Linked DNA regions of Lonchura striata. The main gene of each other region encodes a partner of the protein of the gene in region 2 in a complex. Links are inferred from orthologs where the notes say so. Each region holds a gene or a part of one and is shown on either strand. Other genes may lie near its edges.

The links.
Region 1: VIRMA (region 2) and RBM15 share a complex: the UniProt entries of both Homo sapiens proteins name them as parts of the WMM complex. The link is inferred for Lonchura striata from reciprocal best matches to the Homo sapiens genes VIRMA and RBM15.

The regions. Positions count from the first base shown.
Region 1 is NC_134632.1:1,363,640-1,371,851, reverse strand, and holds RBM15 (RNA-binding protein 15), read right to left. Parts: upstream 3,358-8,212; coding exon 535-3,357; 3' UTR 243-534; downstream 1-242. UniProt on the Homo sapiens protein: RNA-binding protein that acts as a key regulator of N6-methyladenosine (m6A) methylation of RNAs, thereby regulating different processes, such as hematopoietic cell homeostasis, alternative splicing of mRNAs and X chromosome inactivation mediated by Xist RNA.
Region 2 is NC_134603.1:24,170,536-24,179,172, reverse strand, and holds the start of VIRMA (protein virilizer homolog), read right to left. Parts: upstream 3,736-8,637; 5' UTR 3,684-3,735; coding exon 3,621-3,683; intron 1,428-3,620; coding exon 1,312-1,427; intron 1,073-1,311; coding exon 986-1,072; intron 593-985; coding exon 544-592; intron 97-543; coding exon 1-96. UniProt on the Homo sapiens protein: Associated component of the WMM complex, a complex that mediates N6-methyladenosine (m6A) methylation of RNAs, a modification that plays a role in the efficiency of mRNA splicing and RNA processing.

The DNA.
Region 1 (8,212 bases), on a different chromosome or scaffold from region 2:
GCCGCTGGCCTGAGGCCCACACGGAATTTCAAGGACTCAAGAGAGGAGGTGACACCAAGTCTGTTATTAAAGTATGGATTTCCATTTCCACTGAGTGCTTTAAATCTGGTCTGTTCGGTTTGGAGCTCTCTCGAGGACGAGCTCTTGGGACTTGCTTTAAAATACATGAAATGAAAAAAGGACATGAATCTAAATTAAGAAGACAGGAGTTTTTCTTTCCCCCCCTCCCCCCCCACCCCAGTTTTTATTATTTTTCTATTTTCTGTAAATCAAAGCAGGCTGAGCCTCCCTGCTGTCCCCACTGATAGGAAATTCTCAAAATATCCTATTCACACTACTCCTAACCAACCTCTCTGGCTTCTATCTTTATAGAAAAATGTAGTAACAGAAAATCGGCCCGGGAGAGTCACCTACAAACAAAGATCTATTTAAAATAACGACAGGGCTGGCTAAGGCTGTATCCCATAGCACCTGGCACACGCTGGAGGGGCTGCATGGAGGAGTAGGCAGGGTTGGGAACAGAACACGAGGGCCTTAGGACGCCCCACGGACAATGATCATGACCAGATAGTCGTCCTCTGATTTGGCCAGCGCCTTGGCCGTGGAGTCCAGGAACTGCTGGGAGAAGTCGCAGGGCGGAAAGGCGTGCAGGACCCCGCTGTTCTCCTTGTCTTTGTTCCCCCCCACAGGGAGGCTGATCACCCCAGCAGCCTGCTTTTGCTTTAGGTAGGACACCAGATTCCTGAGCGGCCTCTGCGTGGAGGTGGTGGCGGCCTCGGCGGCTCCGGCTGCGGAGCGGTTGTCTGAGGCGCCGGGCACGGCCAGAAGGATGGCGTATCCATTGGGACCCGCCACCTTGATGCGCCGGTTGACCTCGTCCAACTTGGGCTGGTCCAGACGGAGACGTTGGGTGATCTTGAGCTGAGCCACTTTCCCCCCAGTCGCTCCCTCCACGAGGAGGCTGCTGGCGACTCCGAGGTCCCCCTGGAGCAGGTGCATGTTGGACGGGAAGTTGCTGTTCTTCAGCAGGAGCATCCCCTGCCAAGCCAGGCACAGTTTGGGCGCTGCCCCAGCCTGCGCTGCTCCATCCTGCTGCTGTTTTTGGGGAGGAGGTTTGAGCCGGGAGCCTCCGCCACCTCCATCCGCCGCCCGCTCGTCCTTTTTGGCCGGACTTTTGCACTCCTGGGCGGCAGCGGCGGCGCGGTGCTTGCGCTCCCGCTCTGCGGAGTTCTTGCGGTCGCGCTTTTCGTTCTGCCCCCGCTCCAGGCTGCCCCGGCGGGACTCCCGGATGGGGGAAGGTCGCTCCAAGAGGAGCAAGCGGGACGAGCGCTCAGGGTCACTACTGTAACGCTCCCGGCCTCCCAGGAGCTCGGGGCTGCGGTCCGGGGGAGAGGTTGTGGCCAAGCAGTGGCGCTTTCGGGAGGAAGAGGAGCGCTCGCTGTCAGGGGAACGGTCCAAGTGCCGGCCTCCATCCTCCGCCAGCCTCCGTTTCCTAGGCTGATCCCTACTGCTACTGCCCAGCTCCCTCTCCCCGCGGTCCCGCTCCAAGGACCACCCATCCCGGCGGCGCTCCAGGCTTTCCAGTGGGTCATAGGCAGCTGCCCGATTACTCCGATCCCGCACAGGGGGCGGCGGGGGCACCCACTCTGTCTCAGGATAAAGGTCTCTGTCACGGTCTCTATAGAGCAACGGTGGCGTCCTGTCCCGGGCCCCCCGGAGAGGGTCAGGGGGGGCTCCCCGGTGAGCCCCAAAAGCAGCCGCCTCCGCCACAAGCTCGTAATGAGCCGGGGGCGGCAAGGGCAGGGGCTGCAGGTAGGGCTGCTGGTACCGATGCTCTGTGTCGGCAAAGTCTACGCGGAGCCGGCGATCCGGCCCCCCCAGGGGAAAGCCCCGCATGTGGGTGCAGGCTGCCTGCGCCGCGTCCAGGCTCTCGTACTGGATATAGGCCCAGGAATCCCCTTTGCGGTAATCGATCGTGCGGATGGTGCCAAACCGATCAAACTCCCTGGCCAGGGCAGCCAGGGGCACCCAGGGCCCGAGGCCGCCCACCCAGAGCCGGGTGGTCGGGGTGGCTTTCCCGTACCCGATCTTGATGGGGTTGCGCAGCAGCACCTTCCCCGACATGGCCAACTTGGCCCGGTGCGCCATGTCCAGATTCTCAAACTTAAGAAACCCATAGGTGCTGGTCTGCCCACGCCCCGGCCTCTTGATGTCCACCTCAGTGATGACCCCGAAACGGTCGAACGCTCGCCGCAGGTCCGACTCGCTCACGGTGATGTCCAGGTTGCCCAGGAACAGCGTGCGGTTGGCTCTCTGGTCATCCTCGGGGCTGATCTCCTCCTCGGCGGCCGCTCCGGCACCTCCTCCTCCTCCTCCGCGGAATCCCCCGGCTGCCGCCACGCCGGCCACGCGCTCCAGCCCGTAGGCCGGCCGCACCCGCGCCTCGTAGAAGCCGCCGTAGTCCCGCTCCCTCTCCAGCTCCCTCGGCAGCGGCGGCGGCGGCAGCCGGCCCAGGGCGAGCTGCTGCAGCCGGTAGTCCCGGTAGCCCAAAGCTCCTCCGCTGCCCGCGGGGGACAGCGCCCGCTGCGCGGCCCCGGCCGGCGGGTGCCGCACGGCGGCCGCCACCGCCCCGACCGCCGCCGCGCCGTAGGGAGACTCCTTGTCCAGCAGCGCCGGGGAGCGGCTGCTGCGCCGGCGGCCGCTGCCTCCGCCGACATAGACGGCCTCGATCTTCAGCGGGCGGTCGTAGAGCACGAGGCGGCCGCGGGCGTGCTTGGCGGCGCGCGCGTCCTCGGGCCGCCGGAAGTTGACGAAGGCCACGCGCTCGTCGGCGGCGCCGGCGCCGGGTGGGAGCCGGCTGATCTTGACGCTCACGTCGCCGAAGCGCTTGAACTCGTGGAACAGCCCGTCCTCCACCGCCTCGTCGCTCAGCGCCGAGCCCAGCTCGCTGATCTTCAGCGTCTTGTACTCGCCGCCGCCCGGCTCCGACGAGGAGGAGGAGGAGGAGGCGGCGGCGGCCGCTCGCGATTCGCCGCCGCGGCTGCTGCTGCTTCGCGACGCCTCCGCGGTTTTACCGCTGTAGCCGTGCCGGCCCCCGCCGCCCGCGGCCGCCGCCGAACCGGTCTCGTACTCGCGGCTGCCGGCGCGGCCGCCCTTGTCCGCGTGGGCGCCGCGCCGGCCGCTCCCGCTGTTGCTCTCGCCGGACGCCGCCGCCGCTTTCCCGCCGTTGGAGCCGCCGCCTCCGCCGGACGAGCCGCTCGGCTTCTTGCTGCCGCGCGAGGAGGAGGAGGAGGACGCCGAGTCCTCGCCGCCCCGGGAGCGCTTGGCCTTGGCGGGCGAGCGCTCCTTGCCCTTCATGGCGGCGGCGGCCGCGCTCCCGCCGGGCCTCCCCGACCGCCCCGCTCACGCACCCGCCGCCATCTTGGAGCCGCGCCGGCACCGCGCGCCGCCCTCCCCGCGCCCATTGGCTGCCCAGGGCGGTGCCCTCGCCCATTGGCCGCCGCTGCGGGGGTGCTCCGCCCACCTCCTGGCGCTGCGCGTTCCCATTGGTCCGCCGCGCTGTCGGTCTGCCAGCCAGCCCCGTGCTCCCGCGGGGGGGGCGGGAATTGCCGCCGTCGCGCGCCTCCCAGCCCCGCTCGCTCATTGGGCAGTTAGAAAGGGCGCGGCGATCTCATTGGATGGTGCTACCTGTCAATCGTGGCTGTTCAACCATGGGAGGATTTTCGCTGCCCATTGAACAATGGGCCGAACTTAGCTCTGCCTGCTGATTGGCTCTCCTGGCCGCCAGTTACAATAATCGTTCTGCGGCCCCGCCTCGCCCTGTGCCATTGGCTCTCCCGCTTAGATGCGAGTTCCCATCGCACCCCTCAAACTCTCGCGAGTTGCTCTGCCCCCGCCCCCTTTCCTCATTGGTCACTTAGCAACCCATCGCACTGATGTGATTGGCTGATCCATACGCCGCTCATGAAGGAGCGCGCCCCGCTCCCGCAACTCTGTTTCTGGTTTCTCATTGGGCGAGAAAACGTCCCCTGGCGTCTGATTGGGCGCAGACAGGCAGAGTGCTGATTGGCTAAGGCAAAAATCACTCAGGCTTGTTCTGGCTCCGATTGGTCGCCGCGGGGAGGGGGGCGGTCCCCGGGCAGAGCTCGCGGTACGGCGGTGCCTGAGGGCTCAGAGCGCGGCGGGCGGTGGTGCGGGGCGGAGGTGCGGCGGTGCTCCGTGTGTCCGTCCTCAGCCCGCCAGTGCGCCCGCCGGGCTGGGCTGAACCCACCGCGGGGCGAGCGAGGGGAGCTCGGCTGCGTTCAGTGCCTGCCTCACGCTCTCCCTGTTTGCTTGTGCAGCCCGCATGAGGCTGCGGCTCCCCGCGCTGCTCTGCCGGCTCTGGAGCCCTGCGGACCTGCAGGAACTGCCTGAGAACACGGGCACTCCTGCTCCGGGCCAGCAAACCGTTTCTTGAGATATTTCCCGTTTAAAGCTGCACATCACAGCGGTTATCCTGGTACATTCCTGCTCTCGCCATGTTTCCCTGGGGAGTTGGAGCTCGGAGGCTCTCGGAGATGAGTTCGGGTTAGGTCTGAGGTGAGGAGGCCTCAGGGAATTCCAGCTCCCGTGGAACAGGAGCGCCTCTGATCTGTGTGTTTTGTGAGAATCCCTCCGTAATCCCTGTGTTTTGTGAGGATCCTTCCATAATCCCTGTGTTTTCTGAGGATCTTTCCATAATCCCTGTGTTTTCTGAGGATCCCGCTGCCACCTGGGGCCCTGGGCGCTTCCTCCTCTTTCTCCTGCCCTGCTCTGCCTGTGGGAAATGTCGATGGGAAAAAGTTCAAAGGAGGAGAAAGCTCGGGCAGGACTGGGTCCCTCAACCCAGCTGGAACTCCTGCTCCTGCATCCTACAATCCCATAGATCATCCCCCTACACACCATTGTTCCCATTAAAACCCTGATTTCAACAGCCAAACAAATTTCACGCTCAACCCTCCAGTTTCACAACCAAGGTGGATTCATCCAACCCCCAATTTCACACTCTAAACATTCATGTCAGGCCCTCCAAACTCTCATTTCTCCACCCGAACCCAAAATTAATCCCCCAAACTTCACCCCACTAAACCCTAGTTTGACCTCCCCAATCCCCAATTTCACTCTCCAAATTCTTAATTTCACCTTCTAAACCCTGGTGCTCCAGCCCCTCAATGTCCTTCTTGTCATGAGAAACCCAAAACTGACCCCAGCACTGGAGGTGAGGTCTGAGCAGGAACAGAGGGACAGTCACTGCCCTGGGCCTGCTGCACACACTGTTCCTGATCCAAGGCAGGTGCCTTCAGCCTTGCTGTCCCCAGGCACACCTGGGCTCGTGTCCAGCAGCTGTCACCAGCACCCCCAGGTTCTTTTCCAGCTTTCCATCCACCCTGCCCTGGCCTGGAGTGTTCCAAGGGGCTGTTGTGATCCAAAGGCAGGACCTGGCACTTGGCCTTGTTGACCCTCAGCCCATGGATCCAACCTGTTCAGATCCCTCTGCAGAACCTTCCTGCCCTCCAGGAGATCCACAGATCCACTCAACTTGGTGTTGTCTGTGCACTGAAAAGGGTGCCCTTGACCCCCTTATCCAGATCGTGGATAAAGAGACAGAACAGGACCAGCCCCAGTGCTGAGGCCTGGGGAAGCCCACGAGCAACTGGCTGCAAGTGGGTCACAGGATCCCAGACTGGTTTGGAAAGGACCTTCAAGCCCATCCACTGCCACCCCCTGCCATGGGCAGGGACACCTTCCACTAACCCAGGGTGTTCCAAGCCCTGTCCAGCCTGGCCTTGGACACTTCCAGGGATCCAGGGGCAGCCACAGCTGCTCTGGACACCCTGTGCCAGGGCCTCAGCACCCTCACAGGGAACAATTCCTTCCCAATATCCCACCTAACCCTGCCCTCGGCAGTGGGAAGCCATTCTCTCTTATCCTGTCCTGCCAGTCCCTTGTCCCCAGTCCCTCTCCAGCTCTCCTGGAGTCTCTTTAGTCCCTGGAAGGTGCTCTAAGGTCTCCCCAGAGCCTTCTCTTCTCCAGGCCGAGCATTCCCAGCTCTCCCAGACTGTCTGCATGGTGGAGACGCTCCAGTTCTTTCAACAACTTCACAGCCTTCTCTGGGCTCACTCCAACAGCTCCAAATCCTTCTAATGTTGGGGGCAGCAGAACTGGATGCTCCATGATATTTAAGTACAGACCTTGGAGTGACAGGAATTGTGTTTGGAACATACACCAAGCTTCTGAAACTGAGACTCTCTGTGGAACAACCTGAACCCAGCAGAGCCAGAGCTGTGGTGGCTCAGGAGCTCGGTGTGTGTGGATCATCATGGGGAAGCTGAGGGACACAGATGCAGTTGGGTGGATGTGATCAGGTGAAGTGACACGAAGACGTGTGCGGGAGGAGCCACAGCTGATCCGTGGATCTGTCACAGGGCTTGTCCCAGCTGCTGCTCCCGGCTGGATCCAGCTGCTTCCCATAGAGACACAGCTGAAGGATAGACTCAGGAATTCTGGTTTCCCTCTGGAAAGGTTGTTATTCTGTCAAGGTGGTACTGCTTGACAGCAATACTTCCCTTTCAGAACTGCTAAAAAAGGTTTTGGAAGGCGGGTTGGAGTTGACTGAGGAATGAGAAGCAGCAGCCAGCAGGTTTTAGGGAGCAGAATATCCCAGTGTACAAGAAGAAAGCCTCACTGCAGTCTGGATCCGATGCCCCCACATCCCATGCAGAGATCCTCCCCCTCCAGCTCCTTCCTGCATCTCCGATTGTGCCTATAGGATTATGGAACCACAGACTGGTTTGGGTTGGGAGGACCTGAAAGCCCATCTCCTTCCACCCCTGCTGTGGGGAGGGGCACCTTCCACTAGCCCAGGTTGCTCTGAGGAGCTGAGGAATCACTCAATAAGGTGAGAGAAAAGTGCACAGAAAGCCATAATGTGCCATATTTCAGCTTCATCTGAAATTTTTTTGTTACATCTGGTAAAACCTGGCACAGCTCCATCCATGGCTGAAGAAGAAATGCATCATGTTAACAACAAATGATAGAGACTTCTGTCTCCAAGGTCCTCTCTTCCCAATGGTGCCCGGGGTTGGGAGAGAAAGACAGGGATTAAAATTCCTCAGCAGATGAGTCACAGGGTAAAAGACACCTTGTGGGGGAGCACTGGGCCACATCACCACAGGAACGGGGCCCTCCTGATAGACATTTAATCTGATTTCATTCCTCCTGAACTGCTCCTTCCAAGGGGAGACTTCTCCTCCTGGATTTTTCCACCTCCGCATCAGCTGCTGGTGATGTGGATCTCTGTGGCTCTGCATGGATCTCTGGCAGCACTGGTGTGCTTTGGAGCAGAATTGGCGCTGGGAAAAGGCATCTCAGCACTGGGAAGGAGCTCTGGAGAGGATCACGTTTGTCAGGCCATGAAAAACGATCTGGCACAAGCAGGAATCTTCCCCTGGGCCCAGGCTGGAGAAGGAGCTCTGTGCTCTGCTCTGCCTGTGCTTAGATAAAAGTGTATGAATAATTCAGGTGCCAGATGGCCCTTGAGCCCCTGGCCTAGATCTAAACACCTAATTACAGCTGGTGTCCCTGGGACTTGAGCATCCAGGTCCCTCTGCAGGGCTGGGCTCATCCCACAGGATACTTGGGGGTCGCAGAACCACAGAAATTGGCTGTTTCCTGGGAAAAAAAAAAACCAAACAAAACAACCAACAAAACAACCCCCCCAAACCCCCCAAAAAACCATCATTTTGGGGTTTAACTGTGTGTTTTCCTTTCCAAACCCAGCTGGAGTAGAAGACAGAGGAGCAGGTGGGCCTGATGGAGCAGGAGATGCAGTGAGCTCCTTGGATGGATCCCACAGCTCCCTCTCCGATCCCACTGATCCAGGCAGGCTTGCGAGCACCTCTGCTGGGGAGGCGTTTGCCTGTTGCAGTTTTGCATTCAGCCGAGCTGCCGAGACGTGCTCGTATCCCAGCTGGCTGCTGGAGACATGGAAATCCATTAGCTCCACTTAGGCGAGGCCACAAGAGCCCTCCCGGGAGCTGCCACGCTCTCCGGCCTGGAACCGAGGAGAAGCTTCCCCTGCAGTGGTGGCTGCGATCCCCGCAGCGGCCCGGACCTCGCCCTGGCCAGCGGAACAGAAGCTGGAGAAGCTCCACGCTGCGGGATGCCGGCGGGGTTTGGCTGCGAGCAGCGAGGC
Region 2 (8,637 bases):
CTCTCTCTCATGAGTTATTACCCTGTCAACTGAGCCATATATTGCCAAAGTCAGACAGTTGTACCACCCTCTAAGAACCAATCCATCTGTGTTGACCTGTTGGTTTTAAAAAAAAAAATTTAAAAAGTAAAAGCACTTAAAGACAACTTCAAAACAGTTACTCTAGCATCACTGTATCAGCATCTGCATAAAAGCCAAAAGAAAAATCCAACATTAAAACACCTCTTTATCCCACATTTTGAAAACTGAGAAAACATGGAACACATCAATCATAGCAACAAATAACTTTTCTCTAAAAGCATTAAACTCCTTGCAGTATATTCATTGACTATATAGATCCCTAATCTACTACAGACTATTAACGAATAAAAACCCAACAAACTGCAACATGAAAAACACAAGAAGACTCTAAAGTAAAGAGTATCTAAACTACAGACAGGTTTTAGAACACTTTACATAGCATTAACACACCACATGAAACTATATTTACACCTAAATGACAGATATGCAGAGAAAGAAGAGGTTTAAATCACACTGCATTACCTTTGCATTGGGCCTGAAAATAATTGAAGTGTTTTCATCGTATTCAAGGCTGTTAAATTGAAAATACAAAGTAATTTCCATTAATACAAAGCATGTTTACAGAATAAAACACAGCAATAGTAATCATACAAGCCAACAATAAAACACTGAACAAATACGTACAAGAAAGAAAAATCACTTATTTCTACAGAATTCTTGGCATTAATATATATGGACTCTGTAAATTTAAAAATAACAGAATTTTTTCTTACTTTAAGCATAAACCTCTGTCCTTCCACACAGATGAGATGAAAAGAACAAGAACACAAACTAGCAAAATCCAAACCAAACGTGAAAGTCATGGGAGATAGAGGATTTTCTATTGCACATTCTCTGCACTCTAAAAATTTTCAGGAATTAAAGGTAGATAAGGAAGTCACACACTAATCTTGAAAGAACTTACCTTCCCAGCCGATCAAACACAGGGGCACTTGGTTTGCTGACATTGTTGAAAAACAAGTCCAGTTGAAATGAATGAGGGGATGTCTCTCTAGGAACAGAATGAAAGTAAAATCAGATGAGTTCCTTATCAGAGTAAGCAGGACTACCAAGGAGATAAAAACCACAAAATTATCCTATTTAAGGAATGCCCCAAAATAATTACAAGTCTGGCAAACACCCAAATACATTTTACATTTTTATGTAGGAAGGTCTATTGAGAGATGAAAGCTCAAGAAAAAAGTAAGAGGAAGGTTTTCTTGAATCTGATACCTGGAATCTTTCACTTACCCATAAGCCCTGTTGTCAGGCAAACTTGTGTGAGCTCTCACTCCAGGAGGAATGACTCGGACTTCATTTATGTAAACCACGCATGGAAAACGAACCACATCGATATTGGTACTTTGCTACAAAACAAAGAGGAAGCAAATTCTAGGAAACGTAAAACACAAACAACATCATGGTCTTGCATTCTCTACTAACAGAACATATTGCAGTCTTAATAATAAAACATCAAGTATAAAGAATTCTTACACCCTCCAAAAAGCTGTTTGAGCAAACTAGGAAGTTATCAAACTTACAGTGACTTTTCATATAGCAGCTACTAAAAAATTAATGCTGGACATCTTCTCTCACTAAATTCACTGCATTAGATCATATTATATTTATCCATCATTTTTATCATATTTATACGCATAAAATGGTACACATATAAAATTTATGTTTAATTGTAAACATATAAATACTTTCTTAAGAGAAGTTCAGAATCACATTTCCAATTAGCAAGCTGAATTACCAGACTAATAGGAAAAAAACCCCAAGCCACCGACCTGTCTATTAACACAACTAAAAAATTAAAATTAAAAAACAAATTGATTTGCAGTCGAAATGTATCTTTTTCACTACAATCAGAAAGCAAATTAAACCAGCAGAAAGCAAGTACTAAAATTTTTAGAAAGCTAGTAAGCAATGAAACAGACAAACTGGAGTTTTAAAACCGCTTTTAAGATATGGTTTTCAGCATGTGTTACTGTCTTGTAAAAAATCGATGCAGACATTTTTTTGCAGACAATACAACACAGCTTGGCCTGTGGGCTGATGTGGTAGAAGCTGGATGGTGGAAGCAAAGGAATCCCACTAGGACAGGAAGCACAGACACACGAACAGCAACAGGGCGAGTGCAGCCTACATGGAGTGAGGGTTGTAGGAGCTCATCTGTGTCTCTAAAAAACATCTGAGTCATGCAGGAAGCTCAAATTTCTGGAGAAAGGGCTGCTCTGGGGAGCTTCATCCCTAGGAACACCACCCACATAAAGACAAATTCCTCTTTAAATGATACTGGATTATGGCCTGACAGCCATGCACCAACATCACCAAAGCAAGTGAATTCTACCCACTTCTCCTACAAAACATTAAAAAAGACCCTCCATCAGAACTACTCAATAACTACTCTAAACTGTATAGCTAAGCCAAATAAATTACTTTATTCAAAAACACAGCAGTACTTTTCAAGAGCTGTAAGCTCTAGTAAAACATTCATAATCCACAAAGCCAAAGAATTAGCCTAACATAAAGAAGACTTTCAATATACACATAAAAAACCTAAGGTTCAGGTTTGGACAATGCCACTGATAAGAATGAAAGTGAGAGAAAATTATTTTTAAAGATTAAAATGTTCAACAAAAGAACATAGGGCCCTGGAGAGGCCTAAGAGTGGCTACTGTTTCTATCCAGGGGAACAGCACTGGGTAGCACTCCCCACCTAACATTGTTTTAAACAGTGGAATTAAAAAACAATTGGGGCCTAGCTGATCCAGACAGCTACAACACTCCAGAATAACTTTTCAACTGCATTTCATTGCAGCATGAGCTCTTTCCTTAATGCCTATTCACGAATGCAGTCCAGTTATTCTATGAATTTGAACGTCTTTCTCATGTTACTTTTCCCCTAACAGTCCCATTCCTCCTCCCTGAATTCTTCATCGAGCACAGCCCCAGACAAATCTGCTGCAAGATCAGCAGTTTCAAAGATGCTCAGGATCCCAACAGCCTCAAAGTGGAATATTTGCACGATCTACCACTGCCAAAAAAGCTTGAAACGCTCATTTAGTGTAAAGTAAATAAATCTAAGGGAATACCTCACAAACACACAAATATCCCTCCTCATCATCAGCTACACAAGAGCATCAGAAATCTCACAAGCGGCAGGGCATAGCCCTCCAGTCAACTTCTTCCATTATATCGACTTCTCGAAGCACGTTTATCTTCTTTGTTCTCCGCTCGCCTACATTCCTCGCCACCTCTAAATCCCCGCTGCTTTCCCACCACCCTCCGCCCCCTGCCAGCAGCACTCAGGCTGCCAGGACAGCGGCTCGAGCAAGGCTTCGGGTCAGGCGAGCGGGAAGGAGGCGGCAGCTCCCCCTCGAAGGGGCCTGCCCCAGGACTGCTGCTGCCCGACCGCAGCCGGGCCCGCCCCTGCGGGGCTTCCGCACTCCCGGCAGGCCCCGGCGCGAGCAAGGGGGGCGCCAGCAGTAGCCCAGGAGAAGGGAGAGGAGGGGAAGGGAGGTGAGAGGCGAGGCGGAACCCGAACGCCCTTTTACCTCCGCGCTCTGGTGCTTGAACGTGTCCAGGAACAGCAGCTCGGTGGCGGCATCCGCCGCCATCTTGGCCGGGCCGCGGGGGACGCGCTTCCGGCGCGCGCGCCAGCGCTTCCGGGCCGCGCGGGGCGGGGCGGGGCTGGGGCGGGGCTGAGGGCGGGGCTGAGGGCGGGGCTGAGGGCGGGGCTGAGGGCGGGGCTGAGGGCGGGGCTGAGGGCGGGGCGGGGCTGGGGCGGGGCTGAGGGCGGGGCTGGGCTGGGGCGGGGCTGAGGGCGGGGCTGAGGGCGGGGCTGAGGGCGGGGCTGAGGGCGGGGCTGAGGGCGGGGCTGAGGGCGGGGCTGAGGGCGGGGCTGAGGGCGGGGCTGAGGGCGGGGCTGAGGGCGGGGCTGAGGGCGGGGCTGAGGGCGGGGCTGGGCTGACTGCCGGTCCCGCCGCCCTCAGTGCCGCGTCCCTGCGGCGCTCATCGAGTCAGACTCAGGTCGAGAAAAAATCTCTGAGGTCGTCGAGTCCAACCTGCTGAAACTCGTGCCGCAGCCGGGGCTGTGAGCGGCGGGGCGCTGCCCCCTCTCCACAGAGCCCAGTCCCCGCAGCCCGCGCCGAGCCTCGGCCTCCGCTCGGGTTCACAAGCGCGGTGCTGGTTAATTTCAGCCCCGCCTGAGAAGTTTCCTCTGCAGCTTCTCCCGTGCTTAAAGCAATCGCTTTTCAGGTGAAGAACTTGTCGCTTCTCTCAAGTCCGTGTAGCAGAATTCCTTTCAACATTTCCGCAGCGCCAAAGTACCTGTTTAGCATCTATTGCTCTTCTGCAACGGCAATCAAGCACTGGGGACGCCACGAAGCCAAAGCCGGTCCCTGGCCAGGAGAATGATGTGGAATTAATCTTACGCAAGCGGTGTTGGTTACACACGTTTCTGTACGAGCTCCGTGCCTGACAGCAAAGCTGCACCATGTGCCTTTGGAGGAAGCGGTAAAATGACGTGTTACATCTCTAGATGGAAACTTCAGCCAAATACCTTAAGCACTGTCCTTAAGGGTGATAATTATTCCTTGTTATCTGCCTCTTGTGTCTGAAACGGCTGCTTGTGAAATACACTGGTTTATGGGTGTATAGGGACTTCACAAGCCCCTTTTTTGTTCCAGTAGCTGAGCTTGCTGCTCTCTTATCATTCCAAACTTTTACTTAAACCAGGAGCAGCAGTCCTCTAGGTTGTACTGCACATGAAAATGTTACATCACTTTAAACAAGGCTGTGGTTTAATACATCCATTTGCGGTGGTGAAACTAGTTCAGGAAGTTCCTGTCTCCACAGCACGTGTTAGGGAGCCAGCCACAGCATGCAGTTCCCCAATGGGTTCTACTGACACACCTGAAGAGGTGTTTTATGGCAGTGCAGGGATACTCATCAACTAGAATTTCTTCTCAGTTCACTGAAAACCTGATTCTGCCTCATGCTGTTTGAACAGATGTAGTTAAAGTATAAATCCCTTTAAAGAAATATTTCACAATCTTAAAACCAAGGAGCATCCTTGGCCATGCTGGTAGATTTGCCTACTGTGATTCTTGCCCCAACATGGATTCCCTGTCTCATCCTGCTGAATTACCAGATCTAGACTCCTGAAGTAAAATACAGTATCTTTACATAGAAAAGAAGAAAAACCCCTTTATATGTATTTTACTGAAGTAGCATATTGTAAATGTAGGTGAACCCAGTGGGAAGAAATAACATCTGACTCTAGTTCAGAAGACTGAATGATTTTTTTTTATTATGAGTATACTATAATATATTAATATACTATTTAAAGGAGATACTAAAACTACATACTTACTTTTTCTACTTACCATATCTAACTAACTCACAACTTGTGACCGCCTCTTGAGAGTCCAGACACAAGTGGATTTGACTGGCCATCAGGTTCAAACAATTCTCACAGAATCCAATCAAGCAATCACCCCAGGTAAACAATTCTCCAAACACATTTCACATAGGAAAAACAAGGACTAGAAATAGAAATTGTTTTCTCTTTCTTTCCCTCTGTGCACCTCTACGAAAAATTCTGAGAGAGAGAAATGTGCTTACCACAGTAGCACAATGCCTTTTGACACTCGGCACAGCTTGTTTTGATTAGGTTTAGGGGCTCTTTGGAGACTTCTGTGAGGCAGTAGCTTTGCAACTGCTCCACACATGGGCATCACCGTGTGTGCCATTGTGCCAGAGGAGCGCAGTCCCTGTCAGATGACTTCTCTGCTGGGATAGCCTGCAACAGTACTGCAACCAGGTCAGCCACTGAGAATTGTTTGGTAACTGGCAGGGGAATTCCAGCCCTGCGTTTTTATCTGCAGTGACTCTCGCTGCTGGGAACAGCTGCAGCTCTGGATTTGAACAGAATCAGCTTTGAAGGATTCAATTTAGGTGGCTCTCAATGCAGTGTCACTGACTTCAGCACATGGCTGGGCTTACAGGTCAGGCATTTCCTTGCTGCAAGAACAGCAGTGCTTGAACGTCACACACAGTTGCACAATATCAAGAAGCAATTTGTGTATTTTGGGGGGTATTTTCTCCACTGATGAAAGTGGAGACAACAGAATTTGGTTAGGAACAGCATTTATCTTAGAGACGTTAAAAAAAAAAAAGGTGGTAAACATGAACACATTCAAAAAGGAATGATAGAGCTGATTCTCCAATTTCAGTTGTAAGAAGTTGATATTCTGGAAGGAAACTGAGGAAAAGTGATACAGGTGGGGTACTTTTCAGAGACCAAATGTGTGTGCAGGAAAGGCCAACAGTTGCAGGTGGTATTGAGGTGAAGACCCTTCTGTAGAGCAATAGAGCAGGGCAGGCAATTCAGAACTGGCAGAAGAAATCTGGACATATTGAGAAGTGCAAAGTCACAGGTTGTTTGTTTTTTAGGAAGGGATCAATGGGTGAAAGAAGAAAACTTCAGAAAAATGGAGGAAATAAATAAGAGGATACATGAGTCTTGCAGTGTTGGGGGCGGGGGGTGTGACCTCCTTGGCAAGAAGAAGGGTGTGAGTTGTTTCACAACTGTCCTGTTACAGTAAGTGGAACAAAAGGACACGTGGTGGGAAATCACCACAACTAATACAAAAAGGACAGAAAAACGGTTACAAAGGAAACAAAAGGATTGCCAGAGAGGAGATGAGAACAGTAACAGTGTGCTGGCCCTGAGAGGTCACCTTACTTCAAAGCACCCCAGTTCCTTCCTGTAGATAACAATGCCCATGTCATCTGGAAGGTGACATTTCATGCAAAGACTATGCTTAGCCAGTCCCAGGACAATGGAGTGGCCTGGGACAAGCAACTGGAATGGGAGCCTGGGCAACACAACACAGGAACCTGACCAACTGGTGCATGTTGTTAGACCAGATGCTGCAAGCATGCAAGAAAGAAGGTGGAATGGGAACTGTGACTGGATAACAGGTGTTTTAGGGAATGTATTAGCCAAGAAAGAGAAAAATAAAAGGTAATAGCTCTACAGTGGCAATTAGTGACTAGCAGCTTCATAAACAAATGAATAAATGAAACAAGGGTTAGCCAGTAATCCAAAAGACATAATGGGAATTAAAAATACTTTCAGGGTACAGTTTCACTTTTGGAAGGGAGCCTTACATAATGCAGCCTGCTGTAGTAATAATCTAGGGACTCTCATGCTCCTAGATGGACAGAAACATAGGATGAGACAATAAGGCAGAAGAGAGACAAAAAAAAAAGTGTGTAAGTCAGAACACAACAAATCACTAGTAAAGGAACATGTGCCCATCCAAAAATCAGAAAAAAAGTGTGTAAGTCAGAATACAACAAATCACTAGTAAAGGAACACGTGCCCATCCAGAAATCATTCTCAGAAAGACAGGAGCTGCATCTCAAAAGCCAAGCTGGCACTGAGAATGAAACTGCCTAAGAAAGATGATTAAGTTTCACTGAAAGATGAGCAGCCAACCAAGACAGAACTCTCTGTCTGGCATGCTCCACTGTGAAGTAATTTCAGAAACGTTCTGATTTTTGTACTAAAGTATAAATGTTGTTCTAAGAAGTTGCAGTAACCTAAGACCTGAAAGGGAAAACTGCACAAAGACATCCTATGCTGTTGAATCCTTTTGCTCCAGGCTAGGCACAGATGACAAAGCAAACTCCCTGTGTGAGGACCAACCTTACTCCTCAGATGCTGAGTACAGATCACCTGCAGCCACTACTGAGGAAAAACACCCCAGACCTTCACTTCACAAATGTTTTATTCAATGCATCAAAAGTCAGAAGACAAATGCACAAAGAAAACCAGGTACTCTAAACCTCTGACAAATAGGGTACAATTATCTTAGTTGTTTCCTGACACTGGATTCACACGGAAAATTTCAGCTACTGTTTTTAAAAACTGGAGGGATTAATTTGACATTTTAACCCCTTAAATTGCAGTGTCTGCTACAAGTGAATGTCAGATTTGAAATCTTGGACCAGAGAGAGTGAAAATTATTCCAGCTATGATGTGTCATGCTGGAATTTGGTGGCAGTCCCCACAAGCAGAACCAGGCTGCACCAAACCACAGTAGGGCAGGAAGAGGATGCCAGGCACTATGGGGACAAGTCAGTGGCTGACAGGATCCCCAGAAGTGGTGAAACACATCTGCTCCCTTCCTGCCAAACAAGTGTGATTGTGTTAATAGAAGGTGGTGCAAGCTGTGAACCTGCACCAGCATAAGGAGTAGTGATGAAGAAACACACAAGGCAGACCTTCATAGAAATGTCCAGCACACAGCTGAACAACCAGGTGACATGATGGGTGAGCAGCTGGCTCACAAGTCAGGTGCAAAGAGTTATAGTAAATGGGGTGACATCAGGCTGGCAACCTGTCACTAATGGGCTTCCACAAGGCTCCATCCTTGGCCCAGTTCTTTTCAATGTCTTCATTGAAGACTTGGACATGGGACTCAAAGACATAAATTTGCTGAGAACACCAAACTGGGAGGAGCTGTCAACTCCTTTGAGGGCAAAGAGGCTTTGCAGAGG